Drosophila melanogaster: one gene and its partners. Changing the gene in region 2 together with the main gene of any one other region gives a genetic interaction. Each region holds a gene or a part of one and is shown on either strand. Other genes may lie near its edges.

Region 1 (9,538 bases), about 14 Mb from region 2:
AGATGGCAGAAAAAAAGCGCCGCCAGCTTAACATGATCCTCGTCGGCCAGGCGGGACTCCTGAATGGCAAAACACATCTCGATCAGTTGCTAGTCTTATTGCGTCGCCTGATCGATGACTTCTCGCCAGATGAACACGCCACGCCACAGTTGCGCAATGAGATCGAGGAGCATTGGCGAATGATCTTCTCGTCATATCCGCATCCGAATTACGACTCTCTGCTAAACAGCTATGGACGTTTGGATCAAAAGAATCGCTTGCCCTCGTTGCACATAGATCCTGTGCTGTTGGGACTGCAACAAAAGAAAACGCAGAGTCAGCCGCAATCGCCTAGTAAGGGGCCACCATCGCCAACGCCTCTCCCACCAGTTCGGCAGGACATGGCTCCACCACCACCTCCTAAAATGTCAAAGAAGAAGCAACGTCAAGCCCTGGATCAGCAAACACAAAATCAACAACGGCAGCAGCAACAGCAACAGCAACGTCTGCAGCAGCAACATCAAAACCAACAGCAACGCTTGCAGCAGCAGCAAAAGCAACAGCAGCAAAGTCTACAACAGCAACACCAGCAACAACGTGTGCAACAGCAACGTATGCAACAACAGCAGCAGCATCAGCAGCAAGACAACAACCAATATCAGCAGAATCTACGACGTCCACAGATCGACCAGATGCCCTACAATAATCTCCAGCAACGATCACGATCCGATCTTCAGCTGCGCCATACTCTCAATCCGGAGTGTGACCGTCTGTTGAGTGAAATGGATCACAATCAACCTGGCAGCATCAACAAGGACGCCAACAAACCGTCCATGTTCTGGTCACGCGAATCGCTAAAGTACCTCGATGATCTTTTCAAGATGACCTCCAACACAGAGACCGTAGAGCGGCTGAAACGAGTGCTACAGCGATCGCAGCGTGGTCTGCTGTCGCACAACGATTACCGAGCGGTCATTCGACTGCATTCCCTGATGTGCAACTGAGGATTAGCCAGGGTCATGGAATTTATTTCCTGGTGGGTCACCTTCATTTTGTTTAACAAATGCCAACAGATTTCACAATGGGTATCTTAAAGATATTACCCAAAAACCGAATAAATACATAACTGACTATTTTGAAAAAAAAACTCGATTTTATGATTTTATTAGGAATGAAGAGGCTCCAAATAACTGTGTAAATGTGTTTAGGATTTGAGTTGAATTTGTTATTTAATTTTTAAGTGTAAGTGTAGAAATAGTAACAAAATAATGACATCAAAGAACCGAATTTCAAATAAAAAACGGGACTCATTTTCTACTTCGTTTGCAATAAGTTACTATTTATTTATTTCAAACTCAAGAATGTCACACTACAAATTATAAAATTAATGTTATACAGTTTCGTTGTCGGCATTTTATACTTTTTCCTTGGCTTTCATGTTACATGGTCAGTTGTCTTAGAGTAGAGTTGTCCTTGGTTCTATGCAGCGGTAGTCTGTTGCTGCTCCTGGGTGGTCGTGGACTGCGCCGAAGAGATCTCCCCAGACTTTTCGTTGACTCCCAGCCAGGGACAGCGCTTCTGCAGCTCCAAGCGGTATCTGGGGTGACTTATGGCATAGACGAATGGGTCTATGCACGCCACCAGTTTGCAGGTGCAGGCCGGGATCATCGTGGCTCCTGGTGTAAGCAGACTCTTATCCCCGAATGCCCCGATCAGCGACATTACGCCGTAGGGCGTCCACGACACGAAGAACAGGAAGCAGATGGTGATAGCCGCCTTCGCAATCCGTATCTCCGCCGTCTCCTTGCTCTTGTCCACATTGGAGCGCAGCGACTCCACGTTCATTTTCTTGGCCTGCTCCCGTAGGGCCTTTTCGTGGCTGAAGACATGGCCCACGATCTGCGAGTAGTAGTAAAGGATCATCAGCGTGGGACACACGAAGCTGAAAAAGAAGATGGTGCCCACAAACAACCGGGTGTCAAAGTTGTCCGAAAGATAGTCGAAGGAGCAGGACGTGAGGTAGCCCTCTGGAAATGCATAAAAGTGAAGAAGATTAATGGGATTTTTGGTATTAGGATATTTATTTACTTCATATTCGTAAAACGCAATTTTACTCTTTCGTAAATTTGTTTCTTCGAATTTCCCGATCCAAACTAAGTTCTTAAACATTCCCGCCAATGATGTGACACAAGGTCAAGGTATCACCAATCAATATTTTTATTTAATTTTTTGTATTGCCTATATTATTTGATTGGAAATACTATAAATCATAAAAAAGTATTTATTAATGAATTATTTTAAAAATTAGGCTTTAGTTGTCAATAAGAGTAACAGACTACATTATTAACTTTGATCCTTTAAAAATTATGCGCCTGATTCGATTTGTATTATTTCAAAACTGATGTTTTCCTGTTATTAAATTAATTTGACAAACGTGGCAAGGCTGTTAAGTAATCGATGACAGCAATTGATAGCTACCAGGAGGCACTGCGATGTTGCCGATTGCGTGTAATCGACTATCTGGAATCGAATAGACGACAATTGGGGTTCCATCTCTGCAACCGACGCGGACATTAGAAGAAACTCAGTATAGTAAAGTAAATTAATTAATTAACCAGCTAAAGGCAGACATCACGCCCAAAGTACATGGAGAATGCCGAAAAAGACTGAATTCCACACCGCGCAAGGGCAAGTGCAATAAACGCCGACTGCGACGATCAAAGAACGCAATATAGAAAAAGTGAGACACACGAAAAAAACCCATTTCGCTGCCTGTGTGTAAATGCAAATGGTTTATTTTTGTGCAGCAACAACAACAACACAACATCAGCAGCAGCAGCAACACAGAGGCAGAAAAGGCGAAAATAACTAGTAAAGCTAAATATGAATAAATGTGTATGTGTGCGGGTCGCGTTAAAGAAAATTAGATAAAAAGCCAAATGAAATTAGCTCACGCCTGAATTTCGAGTTTCGGTTCGGTGCAAGGTGAACGAAAAGGCGAAAAGCAATCAAAACAGTTTTTCCATTTTCCCAGTGTGCGTGTGCAGTAGCAAAACCACCTGCATTGGTTATATATATATATGCGGTTAAAAAAATAACAAATTGCAACGTAAAAAACGGAACTTGCACCTAGGATATATACACACACATGCTGGCTGTATGCGTGTGTGTGTGTGCATGGCCGTAAAGGCTGACTGACTGATAAAAAAGGAAACAAAAAAATAACAAGAAAATAAAATATACACATACACACACACACCAACGCAGCGGGGCACCAATACCTCGGCACAATTTCTTGGAGGCAGCCTGCCATGTAAGTTTACATATCAACGATTATGTATTTCGCAGTTGTTGTTGCTGTTTAAACAGCAGCCTAGTCGCACTTAATGGCGGCATAAATTAAAGAAAGATAGTCGCATTTCGCTTTGCTCCGCAACTTACGTTTTCTATTTTACCATTTTGCAACTCATGAAAGCAGAAGCTAAGTTAATTATATTCATGGCTATGACTTTTGTGGCAATTACCATTTTTACCCCGTATGAACGTTTCCAACGGTACGCAACGTAAACGAACTGTTAATTATGTGTGTGCGATCTGTGTCTGTGTTGTAAGTGTGTGAGTTTCCCTCCCCGCGGCTGCCATCCCCTACCGCCACCCACCCCCTACACATCCTCGTTGCATTTGTTACGTTACGCACTCTTCATTACGATATTACGTTTATGCGGGCGATGGTACGAATTTCATAATGGCAAATGTTCAAATAATTTTTCCAATATATAGGGTAAAGTATTAAACATTTGTATGTTCATGCGTTTCATGTGTTTTTGTTTTGGGTTAATAAGGAAACATATTATTTATTTTTTAGGTTTGAGTTTGTTTTCGAATATAAACAATATTACTGAACTCCTTTCACACAAAATTTTGATAGCAATCATATAGCAAATATATTCCCGTTAGGAAAGAGAACAAGTTTTGTTTGTACATCAAAGCTAAACAATTACGAAAACTTTATATTATTATATTGATATTTATCTTATAAACGCACCAAAGCACCCACAGCATATTGTTCACACTAATGTGTGCCCATTCTGTCCAAAGTGGACAAACCCGTGAAACCGAACCACACCCATTACAACCAGCACGACACCCACCATCGCACAATCCCGCCATGGGTCGACGTCCCTAATGGCCGTCCATCAGCGTCGGCTCCGTCAGCTCCGCCTGATAAGAGCCAACATATTTGCGCCGTTCCACACGTGCCGCCAAGAGGCTTTTGGGCTTGGGCTCGGAGTTGGAATCGGAATCGGGCCTTCATTTCGATCGGAGACGTGACGGCGACCTCGGGCTGTGTCTTTGCTTTTCGCAGACCAACTCCGGTTCGATACGTTCCGCTTTAAGTAATTGCTTAAATGCAATTCCCATACACGCAAATGCGTGTGTTTTCTTTTTTCGGTAATTACAACAATTGGGAATCCACGGCAAGGTTAAGGCCAGGAATGATAAATCGCTTTGGCTTTTCTATTGGGCGGCACGAAAAACGAACTACCTAGTAGTAGTGATTACGCGAAATAAGTTTTAAATTAATAAGGCTCAAATTAAATTATTACAAATGGATAGTAGTTTTGCTGGGCAACATTTTTTATAGCAATCGAGTAGATTTTGCTTACACAGTTTGCATTCATTTCATTTCTATTACTTCATGGAAAAATATTTTTGCCTATTACTCATGTCCCAGTGGGCACAATAGTTTGGAATGAACATTCAAATCAATAGTATGCTCCGAACTTAAGCCGCAAAATCGATAGAAAGCTCATAACATATGTTCAAATTTAAACCAGCATTTATGCAGTGTGTTATACTGTGATTTTTTTTGTTGGTTGATATATGTTATTTTTGGATTAACTAAGCCTAATCGAAACAAACTATTTTTGTTAAGATATCTGTATGGTTTTGTAGGTTATTGTTTTTTGGAGTTTCTTATCACTGAACGAACAAAATTACAAAAAAAAGAAAAAAAAATTATACATATGCTATGACTAAATTGACCGCATTACTCACTGACCTGTGATTGTATCTCATTTTAGACAGAAGCACAAGAAAGCCATTGCCGAAGCCACCGGGAGGGCGAAGAACCTGAACCTGGCGAGAATTGCAGGGACCCAGAAGAATTGTAGACACATTCGTGCCGTTGCGAGAACCCTTCCAATGTCCAATAAAATCAACCCGAAGCGCCGCGAACCGACAGCAGCAGCAGCAGGAGCCGGTGCCACGGGAGTGGCCACCAACACGAGCACCTCGACCGGATCCTCCAGTGCCGGCAACACGTCCTCGGCCAACACATCCTCGTCGTCCAGCTCCTCGCTGTCGTCCGCCGGTGGCGGTGATGCGGGCATGTCCGCCGACTTGACCTCGCTGTTTGAATGCCCCGTGTGCTTTGACTATGTGCTACCGCCGATCCTGCAGTGCTCCAGCGGGCACCTGGTGTGCGTGTCCTGTCGCTCCAAGCTCACCTGCTGCCCCACCTGCCGCGGTCCGCTGGCGAATATCCGCAACCTGGCGATGGAGAAGGTTGCCTCGAACGTCAAGTTCCCGTGCAAGCACTCCGGCTACGGATGCACCGCCTCGCTGGTTTACACGGAAAAGACAGAACACGAGGAGACGTGCGAGTGCCGGCCCTACCTGTGTCCGTGCCCGGGCGCCAGCTGTAAGTGGCAGGGCCCGCTTGACCTAGTCATGCAGCATCTGATGATGTCGCACAAGAGCATCACAACGCTGCAGGGCGAGGACATCGTGTTCCTGGCCACCGACATCAACCTGCCCGGCGCCGTCGATTGGGTAATGATGCAGTCCTGCTTCGGCCACCATTTTATGCTCGTGCTGGAGAAGCAGGAGAAGTACGACGGACACCAGCAGTTCTTTGCCATCGTTCAGCTGATCGGGTCGCGCAAGGAAGCGGAGAACTTTGTCTATCGCCTGGAGTTGAACGGAAACCGACGCCGGCTCACCTGGGAGGCAATGCCGCGTTCGATCCACGAGGGCGTCGCTTCCGCAATTCACAACTCGGACTGCCTGGTGTTCGACACGTCGATTGCGCAATTGTTCGCCGACAATGGCAACCTGGGCATTAACGTGACCATATCTCTGGTCTAAACGCACTGTCAATTCGTCGGGTTCTTTCATTTCTTGTGTTTACTATTCCGATACAAATACATATATAGTTTATAGCCCTCTGTTCGCATCAGGCGTCTAACTCGTGGACAGATTGTGAGTCTGGAGATTAAGAAGAAAGAGTTTTGCAGAGTTGTTTTATAAAAATGATTCTCTATTCTAAGAGCCACTTACATGCATATGTATATATATCTATGGAAATATCAGGCTGCTTCGATTATCACATTCGGCACGATATCGCAGTTTTCTTTGATTTTTAAGCTAAGACACTCACAATTTTCCAAAGCGAAATGGAAAGCGTATTAAAGCAATTGCTAAGTGATGTTCAGTGTTTATTGCACACGTTCGTTAAACCTGTAAAACCGCGTTTAAAATTCGTATTTTCATTTTTAGTTTGCACATGACTGTGTGTAAATCTCACTCGTTTGCAGAAAAATGCCAAATATTTTTGGTGAGATTTCGCAGATTTGTATAACACACTTTCCTGTCGAATGCGAAAATCGTGGCTGACCTGTATGTTTGTATGTTTAATCGGTTCGATTGGTACTCTAGTTCTAGGACATGATTTTTCAGTTACCGCACACACAATACTATATATTTCAAAGTTTCAGTGTTACCCGTTTTGTTAGTTCATGGGGTTCTGCTTTAGTTTAATTTAGTTCGTAAGGTCCACACACCTGGAGCAGAGCTGCCTGCGCGTGCCCACGTGCCCACCACCTACTACAGTGAACGCTAGGAACACACAGACCCACTCACCAAAACGAGGAGAACAGCAAGAAAGGCGAGGAGGTCACTCATCCACTCGAACATGTACTGCAAAGTCTAGTTTAGTTAATGTAAATTATTTTATACAATACTTGTAAATGGTAATAAGTAAAACGAACAGTTTAACGAAATTAACAAACCTAATAACCCACAAAGAAAAGTAATATTTGATAGCGATAATCTGTAATAACTCGAGAGTTGTTTGAAAGTTGCAGCCTAAACGAAACTGCGACCCGCAATTTTGTTCATGCCAAACCATCACAAAATAACAAAAACACACTAAAAAAAAAAGAAAACATTTTTTTTCGCAATGCTAAAAAGACAGTTGCCCCTTCCCATTTCCCCCCAAGTCCCCCCAAACATATAAAGCAATGTTAATGTTTAAATTTCTATCTAGTTAAGACGATCTCCCCGGTTTGGCTCATGTTTTGGTTTTGATTTCCATTCGGCCAACGTTTCCCAATCGAAAACGGAAGAAAAATTAATGATTTTAAGCATCTGCACCGTAATTAGCTTTTAATGCGCCGATTTACCGCGCCACTACCATATGAGATCACTCACACAGACACAAAACTACAAAACTGAAATAAACATGATTAGTAAAAGTAAACAATGCTCGTTAATTATTGAAATTAATCTGGGGGAAGCTGAATTACAAAGAAGAGCTACGCCACTTTATAAACTTGTCGATTTAAATCAGTTATCTGTTTAATTTGGATTATCTTTGAGATACTTGGGTTACTTCTAATGCGTTTTAAAACGTTGCAATAATAGATGGCACAAGTTTTTAGTGGTGCACCGCCGAAGCATCTTAAAGATTTAGCTGGATTGGTATCTTACTAGGATACTTAGGCCAATTTCAAAAATAAATTTTTAAGCTGATTTTAAAATGATTTAAAGCAAGTAGGCTCCGAAGTAAAAGTAGCTCATTATACTTTTAGCTTCGTTGTATTGTGGTACAGATTGTATTTTCGAATTCTTTTAAGCAAAATTTCAGTGTTCAGAAAAAGTAAAAAAAAAGTAAAACCATCGGCACTCTCATTCTTCAGAATCGTTTGGTTGTTAGGTCTTAGGATTAATAGCTTGCGCATTGATTGTTGGCTGAAGCACAGATGTCTGTTCGCAACTCACGCCCCCAGTTATCGTGGCCGGAGCGGGTAAGTCCGCAAAGGACTATTGACACTCCAACGGCATCCGGAGAAATGTTGACTCGTCGTCAATCGGCACCAGCGTTGGTCGTGCCGCCGGAGGAGACCACGCACGTTGTGGTGGTCAAGCGGCAATCCCCGGACGCAGCCGCTGCCGGAGAACTGGTGCCGTCTAGGCGGAAGGACTCGGTGGCTGTGCAGTCGGGAATTGTGGCCACTGGGCCATTGGACACAACACGCAGTGGTGCAAGAGACGATTTTCTAATGGCTTTGCTCGAGTGCCCGGTGTGCTTTGGCTACATAATGCCGCCAATTATGCAGTGCCCGCGTGGCCACCTCATCTGCTCCACCTGCCGCTCAAAGTTGACCATTTGCCCCGTCTGCCGGGTGTTCATGACCAACATCCGCAGCCTGGCAATGGAGAAGGTGGCCTCCAAGCTGATCTTTCCCTGCAAGCATTCGCATTTCGGCTGCAGAGCGCGGCTCTCTTACGCAGAGAAGACCAAGCACGAGGAGGATTGCGAATGCCGTCCGTACTTCTGCCCGTATCCGGATGACAAGTGCTCCTGGCAGGGACCGTTGAGGGACGTATACCAGCACCTGATGAGCTCCCACGAGAACGTGATCACCATGGAGGGCAACGACATCATCTTTTTGGCCACCAATGTGAATCTGGAGGGTGCCCTCGACTGGACAATGGTGCAGTCCTGCCATGGGCGGCACTTCCTCCTCTCGCTGGAGAAGATCAATTTGGGAGAGGACTGTCAGCAGTACTTCACCGCCTGTCGGATGATCGGCTCCATGAAGGATGCCGCCGAGTTCGTGTATAACATCTCCTTGGAGGCCTATAATCGCACTCTCCGCTGGCAATCCAAGCCAAGATCAATCCGTGAGAACTTCTCCTCGTTCACCAACGCCGACTTCCTGGTGCTCAATAAGCACACCGTCGAACTGTTCTCTGAGGACGGTAATCTTGCCCTGAACGTGGTCATTAGGAAGGTGGAGGAGCGTACCAACTAACCCCTAGCGTATCCGTATCTCTGCCCCCCCCTATAAATTGGACTTTCGTCGCTGATTGGTAGCTGTTAGCGTGTTAGATAAGTGCATATTAAATTAATACATGTGCTAAGCTAGTCCTATGAATTCCAATGAACTACTCAAAATCACTATGATTCAAAAGAATGGTGTTGATGTTTTAAGGATTTACATTAGGAAAAGAATAAAGGATTGAAACGTATCATTTAGAGTTTCATATATAATTTGGATAGGGTTTCATATCCGGTGAATTTTATTTACAATCCCTATTTCACTCAGATACTTGTCATGTGCTAATTTCGAAAGAAGCCTTGGAATTACACATAAAACTCATAATTCTTACTACAGCTTGTATCTTTTATATAACCATGTGCTTCATGATGATAGGATGCAAGTACATTGCCAACGCCAATCCGAAGCGGTTCGCAAAGATCGTACATCCC
Region 2 (8,360 bases):
ACCCTTAAAACAGTTCTTAAACCAAGTTGCCTTTGGATTTTGAAGGTTTGTGGCCACAAAGTCGTATCTCAACATTCCTTATATCATTTCAGATTGCCTTGGTGGCCTTTCCAATCGCTTGGATCCAGGCAGACTGTAATGTATGCCAGTCAAATGGAGCCTCCTGCATCAACCAGACCGCATACAATTTGTGCTTCGGCTCCACTCAGCCGAATACCAACCAAACCTTCGTCTGCACGGATGGCCTGGTGTGCACGGACCAGCCAGTGATCTGTTTCCAGAGGGGCGAGAATCCCGCCAGTTGCGGCGACACTGATAGCTGTGGCCAGTGTGCTCCCAACTACACCTTCGCCTGCACCTCGCGCTCAACCTTCGCCTTCTGCTTTGGCGCCATAACGCCCACAAATGTGACGGGCAGTTGCCCGGATGGTTACTTCTGTGACGCCTCCACCCAGGAGATCTGCGTCACCAAGGCCACTGATGACTCCATCATCTGCCACTTGAATTAGCCTCGCTAATTATTGGATATAAATAAATGATTTTGCCTAATAATATATTGCTTTTGTTATTAAATAAAATTCGTTTTGGGTAAATGGATTTAAAAGCGTTTTTTATATACACCTACTTTATTAGATGCATCGGAACTGATGTTATGCTTAAAACTAATATATAAAATAATTTATCAGTAAAATACCCCTTATATTGCCAAGTCTATAATGGCAAAATAAACTATAAGTCTAGAAACTCTTCCGAATTTTCCGTATTTTTTTTCTCCAGCCAGGAGCGTGCAATCCGCATCGAGGGCAGGCGGAAGCGCCACTCGTCGCAACAGTACTTGTACACCTCGTCGCCCAGTTGAAGTAGTTCGGTGGCAAACTCTCGCTCGTCATCCTTCCAAGTGCGTTCCTCAGAGCCGCCGAACATTTCCATGCGCAGCAATGCGGCCATCGTGGGCCCCACGTATTTCTTTATTGCCATGTATAGCTGGGGTTTGCTTAGAGAAAGAGCAGTGGGTTTGATTGCAGCTGAAGTCCACGGGGACTCCGCTTGCAGTCGTTTTAGTTTGGCATTCTCCTCAGACAGCTTTTCAAACTCGGCCTGCAGTTTATCGTACTCCTGAAGAAGCTTATCGCGATGGGCATCTTCCGATGAAGATGGTTTTTCATCTGGTTCAGACTCGTCCTCACTGTCAGTACTAAGTGGTATGTTCTCTTCAAGGTTTAGAAAAGATTCAGATAAGGTTTCGGAAATGGAATCACTCTGACTATTTTCTTTGCTAGAACTAAGATTAATTTGGATGGATTGGGTGGGTTTCTCCAACATCGGAGTCTTCTGCTCATCCCAGAATTTCTCTTGCAATTGTGTATATCGGTTCAATATCGTACCGTTCTCAGGTGAAGCGTGGGAGTCAGTCTTTTGTGCTTCTTGGGGTAGCTTCCTTTTCTTAGCCTGCTCCTTGGTGGATTCATCTTCGTTCAGTCTATCAGCATCTGCCTCCTGCATCCCACGTTTTCTAACCACAGTCCCTTTAATTGGTCGGTACTCTTTTCTAGTTGGCACTTGCTTTTCTTGACATTTATCGGCAAGCTTTGGCATTTTCATAACGTCAATAATACAACTTTTTGATTTAATTTGCTTTTCTGATTCCTTGGTGACTGTTCGCATCTTGCTTGTATCATCAGTTTGTTCTTTTGGGAGCTGCTCTTCAAGCTGAAACAACTCATTCTCGCTTCCTGATTGACGCTTTACTGGTCTTTTAATCAATTTGATGCCCAATGAAGGCTGAAGTTGACTTATGATATCTAGAATGTTTTGAGGCATAGCCGAAGCGCTTGTTGATGTTGTAGAACTCTTATGCGCCACCGTTGTTTTCTCCGTGTGTACAACCGGCTGTTCCTGCTCCGTAGCCAGCACTTCGTCGGCTTCGTCTTTCCCTTGCGGTTCCTCCTCTTCTGTCAACTCTACTGTATTTCGTTTCTTAACAACATCCAAATTCTGTGTCTCACCATCCACGAATCCCAGAGGACACTCGAAATCTTTAGGTGGTATTAGGTGTTGCTGCTTTGGAGGCGTCAACTTCACGAGAAGAGCTTCACCGTTCTGGTCGAGATTTTCATAGTCTAGTGCCAGATCCCTGTTGATCCTGAACAAAGTGGGCGTCTGCATTGGGATGAGTCTGTCCATTTTGTAGTTCATGAAGCATTCCGCTCGAAAGTGCCGGGCACAAACTGTTTTGGCTGCCAGTTTGGACGGCGGTGCATTTGAAACGTCAGGGTTTGAACAATTCCTGACCCAATCTTTCAACCTCTTCGGATCCTTAACGGGGAACTTGAAGAAGTGCATATTGGGGTTGCGGCTAGAACCCACCGGACAATCACGAAAACAACACTTAGTGCCGCCCATTTGTTTAAATATAAGCAAACAACTTTTATGTTATTAGTGGTGGAAGTGTTAGCGTCAGCTGGTGATATCGATGGGAGGCATCGATAACAGAATTGACCGAAACCAAATGATCGATATGACACTTCTTAATTAATGAGAGATTTTTTACTTGACTGGGCTTGTAGCAGGTTTTGCACAGAAGCAATTATTTTCCGGAATGTGAAATGTCTGCTTTTTAGCTAATTACAACAAAAACTTTCCAATTTTTGTTCCCCAAACCCACTCAAGTGATTTCAAATTTTACCGTCCGCTTAAAATGGAACTAGTTTATTCCAGAGGAACCAGCTTGCACCACCAAGTCTCTGAAACTCTGGAAATATCGATAGTCTGGTGGAGAAAAGTATTCATAAATATAAATAAAAATTAACAGGTCATAAGCTGATTTGTTTATTATTTACTGTTAAAACAAGTAAAATAATATTGGGAACAATTAAATTTTCCATTTTCCTAATTACAGTATAAGCCTAGTGGGCGTTTTGATATCCAATTGTAATGTTTTAAGCAATCCCAGTGGGCTTTGCTCAATCGTTCGGACCACTTAGACGAATTTCCACCAAACTTAGTTCAGTATAATTTTTGAATTCGCCCGCACAGGTTGCGCACTTTTCGACCGTATCACAACACTGATCTACCCTAGTATTCACAGGAAGTTGCATCCCTGGCATCCAGAAGCCTCTAGAAGTTTCTAGAGACTTCCAGTTCGGGTCGGGTTTTTCTATAAAAGCAGACGCGCGGCGTTTGCCGGTTCGAGTCTTGAAAAAAATTTCGTACGGTGTGCGTCGTAACAACAAGCAGCGTCTGAAAAGTTTTGTGAATTTCCAATTCTATACAAAGCAAAGTGAAAATATCTGTATTTTTACCTTTATTCTGTGAATAGAACGAAAAACATACATACAAGGTGAGTAATGCAAATTACAAGAAAAGAGTGAATAGTTTATCAGTGGCTATGGCCAAAATGTGCATTTTGCGTGGTCCTGTGCATCTCGAATGTTCTTGACCCAAATGTGAGATATTGATTTTAAATTTCTAGGAGCCAAGTTTAAGAATTTTTTTTGATTAATTAAGAGGTGGCAACGTGCAAATTAACTCAAAATGCCGGTTTCTTTTATTTTTTGTCGCTTGGACGCATCTTCCAGAGGTTTCTATGCTTTAGCATGAATTAAACATCGTGCCAAATAGGCCTTTTAATTATATATTACTGTCCTTTATTTACAATTACATGTGGTTTATAGAATACAAGATTAATTTTTGTTTAATGCAATGGTCTTTTAGCGCTAAATCGAATTATGCCGCTCTTTTTAGGGGGTGACAATGCGCAAATCACATTTGCCGCTCGAGAATGTTCTAGAGGTTTCTATGCTTTAGCATGAATTAAACAGCGTGCCAAATAGGCTTTTTAATTATAAATTACTGTCCTTCATTTACAATTACACGTGCTTTCTTTGCATTCCCATTTTAAATTGCACATGCCGCATACGCACACATGCACGCCCATGACTAATACTTTCAAGTAAAAATGTGGCGTCAGTAAGCAAATTCTGTTAAATCGGTTTTTTAATCCTATTTGCTCTATTTTAATTGGTTGGTTGCTACTAGCAACTTGCTAGGCGAATTAGTTTTCCTTTGGCTTCTAGATGCTTCCACAAACTTCCTTGGTGAAGTACGAATTTTCAATGCAATGCTCACTCACACAGACACGAGTTTGCACACAGCAGGGGTAGAAAAATTATCAACCGACCCAATTTGCATAATTATATTTAAATATTTAAATTTAAAACATTATTTTGCAACTTAAAATCAATTCTGTTGGCTAATTGAAATTAAAATTCCATTTTACGGGTTGCAAAGTGAATGCTATAATTTTGACCACCACTGTACTTGTATATGCGCATGTTAAATGAGGCATGTGCAAAAGAGAAAGAAAGAAAAAGAATAAAACCGGAGCAGCTGCTGAAAATGCAGCTGCTTTTCCTTAGTGTTGAACCCACAGACTATAACTAATCCTAATGATTTTGTAAATCCATTGCAGATGCCAGAAGAAGCAGAGACCTTTGCATTCCAGGCTGAGATTGCTCAGCTGATGTCCCTGATCATCAACACATTCTACTCGAACAAGGAGATTTTCCTGCGCGAGTTGATCTCGAACGCTTCCGATGCCCTGGACAAGATCCGCTATGAGTCCCTTACTGACCCCAGCAAGCTGGACTCTGGCAAGGAGCTGTACATCAAGCTGATCCCTAACAAGACGGCTGGTACTCTGACCATCATTGATACCGGTATCGGTATGACCAAGTCCGACCTGGTCAACAACTTGGGAACCATTGCCAAGTCCGGAACCAAGGCCTTCATGGAGGCTCTGCAGGCTGGTGCCGACATTTCCATGATCGGTCAGTTCGGTGTGGGTTTCTACTCCGCCTACCTGGTCGCCGACAAGGTGACTGTCACCTCCAAGAACAACGATGACGAGCAGTACGTGTGGGAGTCCTCTGCCGGAGGCTCTTTCACAGTCCGTGCCGACAACTCTGAGCCCCTGGGCCGTGGCACCAAGATCGTGCTGTACATCAAGGAGGACCAGACCGACTATCTGGAGGAGAGCAAGATCAAGGAGATTGTTAACAAGCACTCCCAGTTCATTGGCTACCCCATCAAGCTGCTCGTAGAGAAGGAGCGCGAGAAGGAGGTCAGCGACGATGAGGCTGATGATGAGAAGAAGGAAGGTGATGAGAAGAAGGAGATGGAGACTGATGAGCCCAAAATCGAGGATGTTGGCGAGGATGAGGATGCCGACAAGAAGGACAAGGATGCCAAGAAGAAGAAGACCATCAAGGAGAAGTACACTGAGGATGAGGAGCTGAACAAGACCAAGCCCATCTGGACCCGCAATCCCGATGATATCTCCCAGGAGGAGTACGGCGAGTTCTACAAATCCCTGACCAACGACTGGGAGGATCATCTGGCCGTCAAGCACTTCTCCGTGGAGGGTCAGCTGGAGTTCCGTGCTCTGCTCTTCATTCCCCGTCGCACGCCCTTCGATCTCTTCGAGAACCAGAAGAAGCGCAACAACATCAAGCTGTACGTGCGTCGTGTCTTCATCATGGACAACTGCGAGGACCTCATTCCAGAGTACTTGAACTTCATGAAGGGTGTGGTCGACTCCGAGGATCTGCCCCTCAACATCTCACGTGAGATGCTGCAGCAGAACAAGGTCCTAAAGGTGATCCGCAAGAACCTGGTCAAGAAGACCATGGAGCTGATTGAGGAGCTCACCGAGGACAAGGAGAACTACAAGAAGTTCTATGACCAGTTCAGCAAGAACCTGAAGCTGGGTGTGCACGAGGACAGCAACAACCGTGCCAAGTTGGCCGACTTCCTTCGCTTCCACACCTCTGCCTCCGGCGACGATTTCTGCTCCCTGGCCGACTACGTGTCGCGCATGAAGGATAACCAGAAGCACGTGTACTTCATCACTGGCGAGTCCAAGGACCAGGTCAGCAACTCTGCCTTCGTGGAGCGCGTCAAGGCCCGTGGCTTCGAGGTGGTCTACATGACCGAGCCCATCGATGAGTATGTCATCCAGCACTTGAAGGAGTACAAGGGCAAGCAGCTGGTCTCTGTCACCAAGGAGGGTCTGGAGCTGCCTGAGGATGAGAGCGAGAAGAAGAAGCGCGAGGAGGACAAGGCCAAGTTCGAGAGCCTGTGCAAGCTGATGAAGTCCATCCTGGACAACAAGGTCGAGAAGGTGGTGGTGTCCAACCGCCTGGTGGATTCGCCCTGCTGCATTGTCACTTCGCAGTTCGGCTGGTCCGCTAACATGGAGCGCATCATGAAGGCCCAGGCTCTGCGTGATACCGCCACAATGGGCTACATGGCCGGCAAGAAGCAGCTGGAGATCAACCCCGATCACCCAATTGTGGAGACTCTCCGCCAGAAGGCCGATGCCGACAAGAACGATAAGGCCGTCAAGGATCTGGTCATCCTGCTGTTCGAGACCTCTCTGCTGTCCTCTGGATTCTCGCTGGACAGCCCCCAGGTGCACGCCAGCCGCATCTACCGCATGATCAAGCTGGGCTTGGGAATCGACGAGGACGAGCCTATGACTACCGACGATGCCCAGAGCGCCGGAGATGCCCCCTCGCTGGTTGAGGACACAGAGGACGCTTCCCACATGGAGGAGGTCGATTAAGCGACCAGTCGAAACAAACAACCAAAATTCATTCTATCACTCGCATTCACATACACAATTTACTTGCGTTTCGAACTTTTATACTGAGTTTACTACGGCCGAGTTAAATTTTGTATTCATTAACATTTTGCCGCGTTATAAGCGACAGACATACGCTTAACTCATAAAAAAGCAGGAATAACTCGTTAAATGGTTAGGTTCTCACAGAACATTCAAGAGCAGTTGTCGTTTTAAGAACTTATAATTTAGAATCCAAGTAATTTATGTAAAAAACTAAAGACTACATACGCGCCCTAGTTGGTAGAGCTATATAAAGAATCGAGTATATATATAATTAAGGTTTGATGACCCGATCGATGATAAACATAAAACCAAATAAACAACAAGCAAATGTGTTTTAAAAATCTAACTTCTGAGCGAGTATTTATTGGGGGGAATAAACAATCTATGAATCGGATTCTTTGCGCAGCAGCTGCTCAATGGCCTCCACCGTGGACACTCCCTTGGTTATCATTATTATCTTGTTTCGCGATCGAGATCCCTTGTCCAAAGAAACGTCGCTCTTTCGAAGACCTAGAACTTTCGACAGAAACTTGACCAGTTCGGCGTTAGCTTCTCCCTCGCTGGGCGGAGCGGCGATTTGGACGCCCACTCCTTCAAAGCCAATTCCTGTGATTCCGTTCTGCTTAGCCCCCGGCTTGGCAAGGATTTGTATGCATATATTGCCGCTCTTATCGACTGAAATCGGACTGGCTTCCTTAGCCGGCATCGCTTTTGCATCGTTTTTCGCACTTTCAACGCCGGCCTTTGATTTCCCCTTGCTCTTCGACATTATTTGGGCGTTGACCGATGTAAACAAGCGGCGCATTAGCTTCTTGGCAATTATTTTAAATATTTTGTGTTTTTAAATGCATTTTAATAGCAACTAGTGTTTAATTTTGCGAGGTCTACTGGCGTCTATCAGCTGATTCGTGGAGAAAACCAGGGATGCGCACATATAGGGATGAGCATATCTCGTGAGTTCTCACTCACGAAACGAAGATAAAACTACATTTTTACATTCCATGTAACTTACAGATTGGACATGAATAGTACGATTCAAAAATGTATTTTTATTTTCCTGTTGAGTATTATTTAACGGTTTTCTAAACACATTCCCCCCGAAGTCACCACAACATGTAAATAAAAGTATTAAAACAAAATATGATTAGGTAAAAAATTATCATATATTCATCATTGTTATGTACTCATAGTTTCTTCTCTACTCGTCTTTGCATTAGAAAACAACGCTTTAACACTTTGCACTATTTAAAACTGCGCCGAGAAGCATCTTAAAAATGCATTTATCGCCTATAAATGATCGGGGATCATTATTCAGTTGCTTAGGAGAGAATTGCAGGAATGCACATTGCAGAGCTTACAGTTAAATCAATTAATGCAAAATGCTTTAAATGGACTTAAATTTTGTATGTGTTTTATAGGAGTTGATATTGCAGAAACGATAATAAAGCCAAGTTGTTTGGGGTCATCCTCTGGTTGCACATGTTGCCGGGGACTATTAAGCTAGGGAAGGTGTTAGTAGTAGCAAGTGAAGGTTCCGGAAAGGTCTATTATCTTCCTCCAGATGCACCTGCTCTCTGTGTATCTTATGCGAGGTGAAGCCTTTCCTTACGCGGCGCGTATCGACTGAACAATCTGGAAAATGGCAGAGCCGCAGACCACAAAGATGAACAGC
Region 3 (7,167 bases), on a different chromosome or scaffold from region 2:
TGCAGACGCTGCGCCGCAGGTTCGCCTCCGAGTCCTTGATCCTCTCCATCTTGTGGGCGCAGAGCTGGAGGATCCGCTTGCGCTCCTCGCGCTGCCGCAGCTTTGGCGAGATCATGGGCACACGGGAACGGTGATGGTGATAGCCGATGGGCGGGGAGCAGCGGGGTGGTCCAAACATGTCTGAGTCTTCGTCGCTGCTGCTGCTGTTGTTACTGCTGATATTGCTGTGGTTGTTGTTGCCGCTGCCGCCGTCGTTTGCAGATGCGTGTGTGTTTGTGGGCAAGGTCATTGTGCGTTTTTCAAGCAAGTGTGTGCCTTGTTTGCTGGCTTGTTTATGTGGTTTTCTTTGACAGACAGAAAACAACTTTGCTGCTTTGATTTGCAATTTAATTTTGATTCGAGTGATTTTCGATAAATTATTTGAAACAAGGAAGTCACACCACTCGGCTCACATACGCTCTCTTTTGCGAGCTCTTTTTGCTCTCTTGCACTTGCTGCTGCTGGTACTGCTGGTGCTGCTTCTTCTTCTGTCTGACTTTGCTTTTTCTTTTCTTTTTGCTGATTTCTGTTTTTCTTTTTGTTGTTGCCTTGCGAGATTTCACTTGGCTGTTCACCGTTAGTCGAGCCTGCCGCTTTTGTTGTTGTCTTTGAAGTTTGGCAAAATTCAAAATAATCCAGGACTTTTGAATTTTTGTGTTTTATTTTTTTTTTTTTTTAAGAACTTGCACTTGCTTACGCTATGTAGTCAAACACAATAAAAAAATTCAACAAAAATTGTCAGATTTGTTTGTTTAGTTTTAGGCACACAATTGACTCAAAATTGCAGAGGGGTCGGGGCTTCACATTAATTGTTTCTATTTCTTAGTGGTCTCTTCTAATTTTTCGGTGGCCGCCTGTTGAGGGTTTAAGGTGAGGGGTGAAGAGAACTTTGTGCTTGGTCACCGTGGCTTACTGTTTCGGTTCCTGTTTCAACCGCACACGTCCGCACGGTTCTCGCGTTCGAAACGAAATAAAAACGCAAACGCTAAATGAAAGACGTTCGCTCGCAGCCGCTGCCGCAGTGGCGTCGCTGCCTCTGCCCTCGGTGGCAGAGCGCACAGATGTTTGCGTTCAAACGGAAGTGGCTTAAGAGAGCGCCTAAGAGAGAGAGAGTGAGAGAGCGAATGGCCTACGTGCGTATTTGTACATGCATACACACAGCTGAGGCAAACAAATAATAACACCTAGGCGCTTAAATAAAAGTTTTTAGGCCAATCGTCTCAAGCTAAATGATTTGATTTACTTTATATAGGTGCTCTGTATGAACTAAGTTAATTGACATATTGCATTAACAATCTTTACAGACACAATAATCTTAGTTCCAACTTGCAAATTGCTAACATAATTTTTCCAATATTCCCACATATCTTAAAACTGTAATTACATTTTCAGTGCTATTCTCTCCACCTGCACTGTACATGTGTATGTATATTTGTCGCAAAGATTTTTACTCATTTGTAACGGAAGCAAATCGCTGGTCAGTGGGTGGTGTATTTGTGTTGTCGTGGGTGTTTGAGTGGTTGGGCGCTTCGGTGATGAGCATAATCCGCATAGTTGTTGCTCCTGCCCCTTTATTATGTAAAAATAGTGACTTTGGCTGGATTTGGCTATGCAAAGTACTTGCTAAGGCAATCACCTACACTTGCGGCAACTGCTAATTGAGAAATCCACACGGCGCTGACATGGAATCATTCGAATCCATTGAAATTGCCAAATTAGGCGTGGGGGTAACCCCTTGAACTTATCGGCTCGGCTTAACGGGTTTAACAAAATTAAATACACACATATGCGCATGTATACATATGTTCATGCTTGTAGAGTGGCTCCTATAGTCTGTTTTGCGAATCAGAATCCAAGTAGAATAGTTTTTTAAGTGTTGTCTCAAAGATGTATGCATACATGGATGTATGTATGTATGTGTGCTTATGACTCTGTAGAAGGTCTATAAACTATGTATTTTGAGGTTTTGAAATGCGAGCTCGAATCAACCCCCTTCCCCGTTTCCAGCTCGATTCATCCTCTTCAACAAGTTCATCTCATCATTTACAGTTTTAGCATGATCCGAAAAATAACAACAACAACAACGACAACAACAAAAGCAAGAAAGTGGGCACAAATAATCGTAACAACAACAATTGTGAGGTCAGTTTGGCACTAGTCAGCGTGTGTGATTATGTGCGCACTTATGTCTGCGTGCATGTACATACATACATATGTTTGTGTGCGAGCACAAAGAGACAATGCAAATTTGCACTCAAACAAAGAGAGAGCGAGTGCAAGTGCGAGTGCGAGAGAAAGGGAAGAGTTCATGAGCGTGCGTTGTGAATGGCTGGAGGGGTCGAGTGCTGTGAGTGGGGGGATCTTTGTTTATCATTTTTGTGTACTATTATTAAGGCGCCGCTGACGGTCGATGACGACATACACACACACACACACACACACACGCAAATGCAAACATAGAGTTTGCACGTGTTTGTGCAAAGTGTTTAGCCGCAAGAAGTAAAGTTCTCGTTTTGATTTTGTTTATTCAAAATTGAAATTCCCAGAAACAAAAGCTCCCATGACGATGATGATTCACATGCCAGACGCTGCGGGGAAAAACATCAGGAACTTTATCAGCTAATTGTGTCACAAGAGGACAAATAAGCCAGAAACATTTGCCTGCGCGCGTTTCTTGGTATAGTGCCATCAACTCGATCTCGATCTCAGTAGTTCATCTTTTATAATGCCCACACACACATACATATGTACATATATGAGCATATGTACATATGTACATAAGTCATATGTACATATATGAGCATATGTATGTACATAAGTCATATGTACGTACATACGTTTTTGATTATCTTAAAAAATTGTAATCACACGTACTCCTGCCATTTGACTTAGACCCACTTTCGATATTGACAAATTTTCAATGGTTTTACATTTTTTCCCCACCTCTATTCATAATTTCTGTGTCTCTTGTGTTGCTTAAATGGGCCGTTTTGATTTCTTTCGCGTCTCATTCCAATTCCATCCCTCTTCCATTCCCATTGCCACACGCTTGGCGCTCTTTTGCATTTTCTTAAAGTCGCCCAGATAAGTTCGGAATTACGTAATTAAGCGGCAGCAGCAACAACAAAAACAACATAACCAACAAGCTAACAATTAAGTATTTATTGCTTTCAATTTGCTGCCCGATAACAAAAGAAGCCAAAAAACAAAAAGGAAAAACGAGAGACTGGAAAAAACAAGCAGAACAAAGTAAATAAAAACCGAAACGGACACACATACACACACACACACACCGCTACCTGCGTCGACAGCGGCAGCGAAATCAGCGCCTCGCTTCAATTTTATTCCGTTTGAATTTGAAGATGTTTTTAGTGCACTGCCATTAAGTCCTTAGCACGCGCTTTTATTTCGCTTCGTTTCAATGTGCAGGTAGGAATAACAAAAAGCGGAGGATGGGAGTGACAACGAAATCGAAACTTTGCAACAAAATTGCATTTGAATGAGCAGCGGGGGCGCGCGGTAATTTCAATTATCAATAACATATTTAAATTCCCCATTCTCCTCCCCTTCTATTATCCTCTGTCCCTCCTTCCCCCCTCCACGGACTCCTACACCTTTTTTAGTCGCTCTCTCAACTCTTGATTGCTCTCTCTCTCCCTCTCTCTGTGCGATGGGAACGTTCTCTTTGCCTTTGCATCGGCCACTTCACTTCAGCGGAGAGCACAGTGGGATAAATTGGCAGTTGATGACCCATTGTTGCATTATTGTGTTTTAACCATAAAGCCAACAAATGCTTGGCGTTCAAGCCCTTCATGGAGTAACGCATATCAACGGATTGTCGGGGATTATCCAACGTCTTAAAGTCAAAATCTTACAAATCGCAGTATTTACCTGGCAAACGTGTTAATCCACAGGTAAGTTGGGCTGAAACCACCCTAAGTCAATATCAAGGGTTTTTTTTTAGATCTTTCTAAAGTTTAATTGTACGCATGTCTTAGCTTCGAATTCTTGTCATCCGAAATGCTTTGTTGTCCATTTGTTCTTGTTCTGGCCCACTGTGCCGCGTGTGAATGAACGTATAAAAAGTGAGAGCGTCGCCTGCCCGACTCATAAACGAAAATCAATGACTCCCAATGCGCGTACCCTTCCCTCACCCCCCTGCGGAGCCCAACGCTTTTTGGGAGTGATAAATGCCGCCTCAGCGTCGTCAGCAGATTTCAGCCTGCGCATGTTTGTCGGCCCGCAAACACTCGCAAACACACACACACGCTCTTCCCGTGATGTTTGTTGATTTGGCTGCATTCAAGAAACGACAGTGCTTGGGGCAGTGGGCATTGTTAGACTTTTAGTCGTTTCAACTCTACTTTCAGTGGGTATCATCCGCAACCAAAAGGAGGAAGGATGAACATTGCATGTGTGTACATACATATGTACATACGCAGTACGTAGTACGGATTACGTATTACGTATGGGCAGTTGCCATTTATGCAAGGTGGCTGTTCCTGCACTCGAACACATGTTTGTGTGGTCATTTGTAATTTGGTCAGGCGAGCAACAAGAAAAAAGGATAATGAAAGGATCAAATGTGCGTAGAACGTACATATAAAGGGTGTGATATCACAATTATTTTCGATGACTTCGTTTAATGTTGGAAAAGTAGACGGGAATGCATTACATCGAAGTGAACTATTTAACTTTGGATAGAACTGTTGTTTTTTGTAGGCATTTGCATTTCTCGCCGCTTCTTCTGCTCCTCCTCCTGCTCTTCGCTTTGGCGTTGGCGAGAGAGCGCCTCGTTGGTCTCTTTGTGTGTTTATGCTTTCAACATTGATACGTGCCACTTTTCGGATGCAGACTTGCGAGAAGCAGCGGGGGGGGGGGGGGGGGAAGAGGAAGTGGCAGAAGCTGGTAGACGGGGGCAACGTGTGGGGACAGCTGGGTGAGTTTGTAATTAATTGCGGCCTTGCCTCCCCTTCACCGCCAAACATCCTCATCCCCGGCAGCCAGGCTCCCTCGCTCGCTCAGGCAAACTCTCTCGCTGAGAAACCAGCCGCCAACAGTTTGTTTTCTTTTCTCGCCGCTCTCATCGTCACTTCCGACTCGTCGGGGGCAGAGGGTGGGCCAGCGGCATACTCTTTGTCTAGTCGCCAATCTCCCCGCACTCCACTTCATTCATGAAGCACAAAGTGTACAGCAGACACTCGCTAAGTGACTAGTGTTTCGTAATTCATTAAGATTTTTGTTGGTTTTCTTCTCTCATTTTTCCCGCACCAATTCTGCACTATTCACAAGTAAAAATGGCACCAACTCTCTTATTTGTGGGCACTAAAACGACCATGAATCGTCGTTCGGTGTTCACTGTACCTGCTGCCAGTAGCCCAAAAACGGACAGTGGCTGAGGCGTCAGCGTCGGCAGAGCAAAGAAAGCGCGCTAGTTACAGTTACAGTTACGTTACAGAGGGCCAAAGACAATGCTAGGCTTGGTTAACGGTAATTACAGCGTTTGTGGGGGGGGGGGGTGTGGTGTAGTGCTCGGGCGTAGCTAGGCAGAGGGATATTTGTTAATACATATGTAGCACTCGAATTCTTTAGTTGGTTTATAATATCATCAAGAATGAGGAAAAAACTAGCTAATTTGTTGATAAATGTTAAGATGCCCCTCTGTTTTAAGTCCTCACTAAGCCCATGAAAAGCACCGTTAATTGAGTGGGATGATCCCCATTGAAAGCGCAGTACTACAGCTAATTCCAATACCACTTTCAATATCCAATTGCTCGCCTTTCAATCGTCGAAACGGTGAACGAAGAGGAGAAAAGATAAGGGTATGTACCGAAATGTGGAAATACCCGAAAGGGCCATTGGAATATGGGATATTGAACCCTAATCGTGAAGACCTCGTGTTTTCTTTGACTCATCAGCCGATTTTGCGATAATGCGCTCTTTTTGGTATCCGTTGGATGATACATAAATTAAATACATAAATGATAACTTATAGAAACACCATACACAACTGTTTAGAAATTTGTGTCAATCACTGTGACTCACTCATGATTGGTGGCTCTATCCACTTGCAACTGCGGACTACGGACTAGGCTAAGAATTGCTTAGAATCGCTTAGCACTGAGAAAAATATAGGTGTTGTTTAGATTTGGTGCTCGGTTCCCAGGACACTCTCCCCAAATTGTCTTTAAAATACCGCATCGCTTGTTTGGAAACATGAAAAACAAACCGCAATGTTTTTCTTGTTGATTATGCATACATACATATGTATGTATGCATGTACATTCGTTTTGCGGTTAGTGGATTTTTTTTGTTTAAGTACCAAAGCATATAGTGATCCGAACGGCAAAACAATGCATTGCAGCATAATAACCTCAAAAGACTTCAAATATTTAGCTACCAAAAAGCGGTTAGCAACAACTACAACAACAACGACCCAAGGGCATGCCTCTTCTTCTTCGTCATTACTTCTTTTTCATTTCGTTCGTCATCTCATTTTTTGTTTCGGTTACTTGTGGTCTGCGATCGAAACACGAAATAAAATCTAAAAGTCGATGTCGAACTCGAAGTTTCGTGCGAGTACGAGTGCAGTTTGCTGGAAGGAGAAGGCAAGATGAAGTTTCTCGCTCCTACTCGCATTATCGTCGCATTGTTGTGTTTGTTTCAAACTATGTTTATGCGTAGACTTCAGGAACTAATTAATTCGTTAAATCCGAATCCATTCACAAATTGTCGATGCTTACACGCTTTCATTTGAATCGAAAACAGACATGGGTTTCCTTACCTCACAATTTCAGGAAACGAGCGGCGCATAAACATTGTAAGAATGCGTGTTTGCCGCCCTTGCTTGCATATGCGTGTATGTGAGTGTGTGTGTGGTTAAATGCAGTTTTGCCTTGTTATTGTTTTTCTGTGGCACGTTTCGATTTGGATTTTTGATTTGTGTGCCATTCGATGTGAGATGTACGTAACGTTGGCCTAAGGTAACGTAATGCGGGCCCATTCTTATGTTTTGCCCGCAAGTTGCAGTCAAACGAGGAGTATTTATGATTTAATTAATTAAATTATTATCGAATATCAATAGCTCGTCAGTTACTGTCGCTCGCTTGTTTGCTTTTTTTTTACCAG
Region 4 (6,801 bases), on a different chromosome or scaffold from region 2:
ACGTATTACGCATCATTTTCATTCAGTGTAATTTGAAGAAAGTTTGAAAGGATAAACCTACAGCTTCCGCTCGTTTGAAGTTGTGGGAAGCATTCTTTGGGCTCGCAATAATCGGCATTTGGCAAAGGAAGTGCTGATTGCAGTGCTCGAGGAAGTCTTTAATTTTCAGAAATGTTATATAGTCAACCAAAACACAAAGGTGATATAAAGTGCTATAAAGTATATAAGTTATATATAGATCATTTTCATCAGTTATTAGAAATTACTATATATTATCCTGATCTGATCCTGATTCACAGAAGATAGTTAGTTTACCAACTCCTTTCTTTTTCACACCGCCTACCGTTTGCACTTCTTCTCTCCATTTTAGCTTATAATTCCCAAGTGACCGTTCGGACAGCACTGCAACTCACCTCTTCCGCTGCGTCCCACGAAACGCAGATCATTGAACTTGGCCACGTCGTTCTTCATCTGGGTGGTGAAGTTGCGCAGCTCCGCGCAGCAATTCTCATCGTTTCCCGCCCGGATGGTGACATAGGTGCCATCGCCCACTTCCGCCAGAGCGACGACCTTGAAGGCCATCGGCAGCGTCTTGTTGGAGCGCCAATGGGCGGGCAGGGCGGAGCACAGGAAGTACGGATTGCTCGTGCGCACTGGAAAATGAAGAAAGTGGGTAAAAAAAAAAAAAAATCAGGATAAATCAGTTTGGTTTTAATTAGCCAAGGGTTCGCTGATTAAAATCACATTTTCACGGCCATCAAAAATATTCAATTATTTATAGTTTCGTGTCGGTCCATAAATATCAATCATCGTGGATACTGAACACTGGATGCAGGATGCTGGATACTGGGTCCTTCGACCATCGACTCGCCATCCGGCGGTGCATAATTAATTAATGAGCGGGGAGATGTCAAACGGAACGGAACGAACGGACCGGACCGGAAGGGGTTATCGGTTATCAGATGACGTTTGACTGTTGACCTGGTGTCGAAAGTAGAGCAAAGTGTGGAGAGCTGGGCTGGCTGAATAAATGATTTATTTACTCGCGACTGGCGCGCAAAATAGACCGAAATATGGACATCTAATTGCTGATAATCATTAAATTTAATTTGTCACACCGCTGTAGGTTTGGAAATCATGTTTTACATAGGTGTCAGGAATCAAATGTGCGCTGCCCTGAAAACCAAACTGTGTAATAATAAATTGTAATAGACTAGGCACATCCAGATCCTGATTGAATCCCATAGGTACGATACTAACTCAAATGGAATGGAATATAAATATTACTTTAAGACAAGAGTGTAAAGTCCTGATAGTTGCAATTCGATATGAAGGCTATCCATTGAGCACAAGTTATGAAAGGACTCAGAAGTGAAAAAAAAAATCATATAGGATAACCAGTTTGCGGATTCCCCAGCTAATTTCAAGACTGACGGTGCGATGAGCTGAGATTTCATTAGCAGCTTTCGCTCTGGGTCATTGATATCATTGATAAATCGGGAGGAAAGTTCAACGGGCAGCAAGGAATAAGAAAAAAAAAAAAAAGGTGGCATTAACAAAATAAAAAAGGGGAACGACTCGTGCGTTGATATCAATAACAATTATTGATATCAATTTACGCATATTCCGACGGCGATGCCAGTCCCATCTTCACTGGCATCACCATCATCATCGCCATCGGTATCATCATCACGATCATCATACCCATGGAATCCGATAAGGCTGCGTCCGATGATCGTGATTGCCACGATGTGGAAGCCCCAGAAGTGCATTGTGCAAGGATGTGGCAAGAATGTGCGCTCCACCTTTCGGGGATCGGATTATCGAACAGACCTGCAAAGCATCCACCAGATCCCCTCGACACGAGCTAAAGATGCTGATACCTTGTGAATGGAAGAGCTGTCTCCGCAGAGGCTTGCCTTGATATATATATCTATCTATCAATCTTATATTCATAAGATATATTATATCAAGAACCATAGATCATATTGGGAATCTGGTAGCAAAGAATTTGCTATTTACAGTTAGTAAGCTAAATCCCTCTGTTCAATCAATTTTGTTCACGGGAAATTACAAATCCAGTTAGACTATATCTTCATATTCACTTTGATTTTGAAGGACATTAAGGTAGCTATTAATCCTTAACCCTTTTGCAGACTGTGTTACTACTAGGTTATTGGTAATATCCCACCAACAACTCACCCAATTCGCCGGGATGTTCCTGTTGTCGCTTCTGTACCAATCGCTCCATCCACAATAGATCCTGGTGAACGGCGTTGTTATTGTTGCTATTGCTATTGCTGGCACCGTTGTTGTTGTTGTTGCTGGCGGTACTACTGCTGTGACCGCCGGTGTGTCCACTATGCCCACTATGGGCTGTACCATTGCTGGCGCCACCTGTGGGCGAGCTGCTGCCAACACTGGCACTACTCGAAACGGCCAAAACCTCAGCGGCTGTGGCGCCCGTGGATGCAGTGGCGCCCTGGGTGGCACCACCTACGCCGCCGCCAGTGGCCGTCGCCACCGCTGTGATGCCCTTGAAGTCGCCGGTGGAGCTGCTCCAGCCGTTGCCCGTCGGCGATGTGGATGACGATGTGACCATGGCCGGCGGATGTGGTCCTGCCGGCGGATACGGATACGGTGGGTGGTGGTGGTGGTGGTGGTGGGGCGCGTGCGGATGCGGTGGGTGGTAGGGGTGGGCGTGGTGGTACGGTGAGTAGTGGTGGTGCAGGTGGTGATGGTGGTGGCTGCCGCCGCTGCCGTTGATGCTGCGACCCAGGCGGCCGGGACCGGCAACGCTGACGGGCGCCACAGTGGTGCTGTGGTCCGCCACCAATTCCTGGCCCAGTCCCAATCCCAAGCCCAGTCCCAATCCGAGTCCGAGTCCGTATCCGGAAGCCAATGGCAAGCCCAGCTGCAATTGCGATTCCGTTTGCGATGCCAAGTCCAATTGCGACTCCCCAGCAGCGCCCGTATGCCCAGATGGAGATGCTGATGGAGTTGGAGTTGGATTTGGAGATGGAGATGGAGGCGTCTTCTCTGCCGCCAGGAGATGCAAATGCATTCGTCGACGGCGGTGACCTTTGATCCGCTCGCTTGCCCCTTTTTTTCTTGCAGTGTGTGCGGGTCGCAGGTCAAGCGCTTATCACACTTCGCTCCGGCGGTGTCTTTTGTTCACTCATCAATAAACTCTAATCTCTAAACGAATTCACAGAAAAAAAAAAGCGTACTTAACAATTGTTTGCAATTGCACTTACGATATGAGAAAGATTCGTGTTTAATTGAAAACTTAAAATGCCGATCGATTCATTAAAAACAATCCATGACAACATCTCAAATTTGTTTCATATTAAGCAATTTAATTAAAGTACATATAGAAACAGTTCACTGGCGTACGTTTAAATAAAGAAATAATTGCAAAAAACAATATATATAAATTTAAAAAATGATTAAAAATATGTTTGCCTTTCTGAATACATATTAAATAACTGCGAGTACTACGACGATCGACATTTTGCTAGTTCGCACTTTGATAAATTAGTCACAGGAATTAGCGGTGCATTTGTTGCTATTGTTGTTTTTTCTTTCTCTTTTTTGAGCATGCTTTTGCCAGATGATTTCTGAACTTAATTAAATTTGATTTCGTTTGATTTGGATATTTTTATTGTTTGCACTTCACTCGGCTAATTAGTAATACTCTATGTTTGACTCCCGATTCGCAGACGGGCCTCCTTTTCTCGAGTTTAACTTTGATGATATTTCTGGGAATCGGTGTAAAAACAATATAGTACAATATAAACATTTAATGTTCACAACTGATCTCCCAAGTAATCATAAATGGTTGTAAAAGAGTCAGTTATTTGTTTATTCAAACAATGTATAAGAAGCTTTTACAATTACTATTGTATATTATTTGTTTGAGAACAAGCAACAAAGTAAACAAATTATTTCACAGTCGCAAAATAAAGCCTTAAAAAATATGAACTTAAGTTTTTGTCATAAAAACATTGCCTTAATTCGTTTGTGTCACCATTTATCACTTTTATTTTGTTACTAACTGCACTTAATAGCACTTTGGTTTGTGTTTAGTTTAATGTAAAACTGTTTAACAATATGTTTGAATGCAAGTTTCTGGCGAAACTGTGTCGCTCTTTTGTTTAAATTTAGTTGGTGACGAAATTCGAGTTAATAACTAAAAGTTAGCCGATTTTGGCGCGCTTTTTGTTTACTACTTTGTTTAACACTTACACACACACTTAGTTTACTTTCTTCGGTATTTCTTTAAGTGACTTAAGCACAAGTTACAAAAAAAAAGGGTTAACACGTAAGCGAGGTGTTATTTTCTTGTGTTTCTTTCAGTCGATTAAAAACTTCGCTAACAATGGAAACAATAATGCTCGCGCGTCGTACTCCAAAACATAACTGAAACTGACTTTTAACTTTTGACTGCGCCGCTTGAATTTCGCGAGACGATTGAGCTCGGCTCTGAGTCGAATCCAATCGTTTTTCCACTTGCCTCGCGAGCCAATTGGAACGAGAACGACTCTCTTTGGCCGGGGCGTTTTGGGTCTCTTAAGTTGCTCGCTCTCTCTCTCTCTCTCTCTCTCTTGCTCTTCTGTAAATGCATGGCCTAGTATGTGCATTGTGACAAGTCACCATTCCACGCAGTGCTGTTGCATCAAATTTTTAATAAATTTCGCTAAAAATAATAGAATTTAAATGCTTAATCAAATAAACAGTTGCTCTCCCTCTCGCTCGCTCCTGCGTTTCCCTTGCACTTGGCACCGCCCCCGGATTCTGATTGGTCAGGTGGACATGGCATTTGAGGCGCGCCATTGGTGGACACATTTTCATCCACCACCGGCTGCAACCACTTCCAATTGGAATCGCATTTAAGCGCGCTCTCTTTAATCAGCTGAGAGCGTGACGACTTAAGAGCGGCGCTCTTGTTCAGCCGGGAAATTTCGAAAATATTTAGGAGCTGGATATGATTAGATTTTCATGAGAAAATAAATAAGTTGTGTTTTTTTTTTTATTATTTTATTTAAAATTTAACATACATGTATTTAAAACGCACTTATGGAAAATTGTATTCATATAGATACATTTTGGATATTAGAGATGAAAATCAGAGAATCTACTTTAAAACTGATACTTAACATGCTTATCAAATCTGCTATTATCGCAAAAAGTGTTAATTAAAAACTGTGTGTTGTTGCTAGCGCAAAGAAAACAAGGATTCCAAATGACATGTGTTCTTTTTAGCGAAGGAAAGGCGTGATAAGAGACTATCATTGGGCCATATTTTGTGGTTCAGCCTTGGTTTGTGGTCGAAATACTGATATCGAATTAAAATAACAACGCAGAGTTCTTATGATTTTAAAAAGTGTTTATTTTAAATTTACCTCCGACTTATCACATCGAAGGGAAATAGTTCTTATCGCTGGGAATATAATAGCGTGAGAAGAACGTCAGCTTATCTGCGAGGGCAGAAATTGCGAGAAAATCAAATGTCTATGCTATTTAATTTCAGAAGTGCTATCAAGTGATTAAAATTAAGCATTTCAATTGCTCTCAAATACTTTCAAAACTACCTCAAAAGCGTTTTTTCCTTTAATATTGTATTAGTATGCTGTACTGCCTGTGTAGCTTAAAATTTAAAATTTACTTAATTGCTAATTCCGTATAATAAAACGAGACTGTATGCATAACTATTATTTTATACACAGTACATTTGAATTTCATTTTTATGGTCATCTATGGTTTGCGCCACCACTGAACAGTGAGGGCACACACCATGTTCGGAAGCCCAACTAGTCCATGGTGTTGATAAAAAACGTACTAAAATTTCCACAGCCGTTTTTCCCCTATGTGAGTGCAGCCACCCGTTTTAAACACAAACAATTTCGCAACGCAGTGAATCTCTTGTTTTTCCGAGTTTTTCCGCGATCGCGAAGTGCGCGTTAAAGTTAATCGCTGTCTGAAATCCCGTTAAGCTGGAGAAGTGGAAGAGAACGCGCAATTCCACCAAGAAGATGGACGGCCGAGGGGTTGGCGGCGGTGGTAGTGGTGCTGCCACAGGGGGAGGATCCGCCAACAACAAATCAGCTGCTGGAAATAGCGCCGCCACTGGAAATGCCGATGCATCTACCGCCACAGCGGCGCCCAATGATAAGCCAACGATTCTGGAAGGTAAGCAAACGAAAATGCAAATGAAAATGAAAACAAAGGGAACACTGCCTAATCCCATAGATAAAGATAAAGATAAAGATGGACCCATGGAATCTTTTATTAGAAAGCGCACACACACACAAGCACAAGTGCTGAGAGCGATTTAGCGTGAAATGGGCGTTTTGCCCGTCCACCCCACCCACTCCAATTGGGATTTGTGATTAGGCGAAGCGCAGTCTTTTGTCCTGTTCTAAAAATAGAACTACGCATTAGGCACAACGCACACATGAGCGCCCAAAAGTAACGGGGAATCCTTTTAGCGAAAGGAGAGCAGCTAAATAACTCTATTTTCGTATCTATGTACGTGTGTATTATGGGGACCTGTTGAGTGTGTGAAGCCCTAAAAAATCATCTAGAACACGTTTATGAGCAAGACAAATCAATACAACAACATTTCACAATTACACCCACAAATTGCACTCAATTCGATTTGATTAATCATCTGCATGCGTAAGTGTGTGTTTTTTTTTGTTTTACAGCTAATTGTTGGAATAAGAACAAAAATAACATTGCAATGCGAAAAGTCCTCTAGAGTATCGCTTGTCCAGTCCAATTGGACTTTTGTATCTC

The links.
Region 1: of Hsp83 (region 2) and sina, changing one enhances a phenotype caused by changing the other (phenotypic enhancement), as found in Drosophila melanogaster (2 studies listed by BioGRID).
Region 3: of Hsp83 (region 2) and Raf, changing one suppresses a phenotype caused by changing the other (phenotypic suppression), as found in Drosophila melanogaster (one study listed by BioGRID).
Region 4: of Hsp83 (region 2) and lz, changing one enhances a phenotype caused by changing the other (phenotypic enhancement), as found in Drosophila melanogaster (one study listed by BioGRID).

The regions. Positions count from the first base shown.
Region 1 is NT_037436.4:16,851,234-16,860,771, forward strand, and holds sina (seven in absentia), read left to right. Parts: upstream 1-2,517; 5' UTR 2,518-3,292; intron 3,293-4,685; exon of another isoform or gene 4,686-4,751; intron 4,752-5,063; 5' UTR 5,064-5,184; coding exon 5,185-6,129; 3' UTR 6,130-7,479; downstream 7,480-9,538. Other genes in the region: Zcchc7 (zinc finger CCHC-type containing 7), read left to right, coding at 1-983; Rh4 (rhodopsin 4), read right to left, coding at 1,459-2,006; sinah (sina homologue), read left to right, coding at 8,025-9,080; CG13029 (uncharacterized protein), read left to right, coding at 9,464-9,538. UniProt on the Drosophila melanogaster protein: E3 ubiquitin-protein ligase that is required for specification of R7 photoreceptor cell fate in the eye by mediating the ubiquitination and subsequent proteasomal degradation of Tramtrack (ttk).
Region 2 is NT_037436.4:3,190,028-3,198,387, forward strand, and holds Hsp83 (heat shock protein 83), read left to right. Parts: upstream 1-2,941; 5' UTR 2,942-3,340; intron 3,341-4,471; coding exon 4,472-6,625; 3' UTR 6,626-7,032; downstream 7,033-8,360. Other genes in the region: CG14958 (uncharacterized protein), read left to right, coding at 93-509; CG14965 (uncharacterized protein), read right to left, coding at 730-2,403; CG14966 (uncharacterized protein), read right to left, coding at 7,071-7,493; CG32276 (uncharacterized protein), read right to left, coding at 8,294-8,360. UniProt on the Drosophila melanogaster protein: Molecular chaperone that promotes the maturation, structural maintenance and proper regulation of specific target proteins involved for instance in cell cycle control and signal transduction. Undergoes a functional cycle that is linked to its ATPase activity.
Region 3 is NC_004354.4:2,292,401-2,299,567, forward strand, and holds the start of Raf (Raf oncogene), read left to right. Parts: upstream 1-3,065; 5' UTR 3,066-3,558; intron 3,559-3,753; 5' UTR 3,754-3,953; intron 3,954-7,167. Other genes in the region: CG2865 (uncharacterized protein), read right to left, coding at 1-289.
Region 4 is NC_004354.4:9,282,184-9,288,984, reverse strand, and holds the start of lz (lozenge), read right to left. Parts: upstream 4,337-6,801; 5' UTR 4,249-4,336; intron 3,199-4,248; 5' UTR 3,065-3,198; coding exon 2,203-3,064; intron 654-2,202; coding exon 414-653; intron 1-413. Other genes in the region: c11.1, read left to right, coding at 6,036-6,192. UniProt on the Drosophila melanogaster protein: Involved in prepatterning photoreceptor precursors in the developing eye; in the larval eye disk it defines a subset of cells as an equipotential group that is competent to respond to the sevenless developmental signal and another subset that confer proper photoreceptor identity by positively regulating the homeo box gene Bar.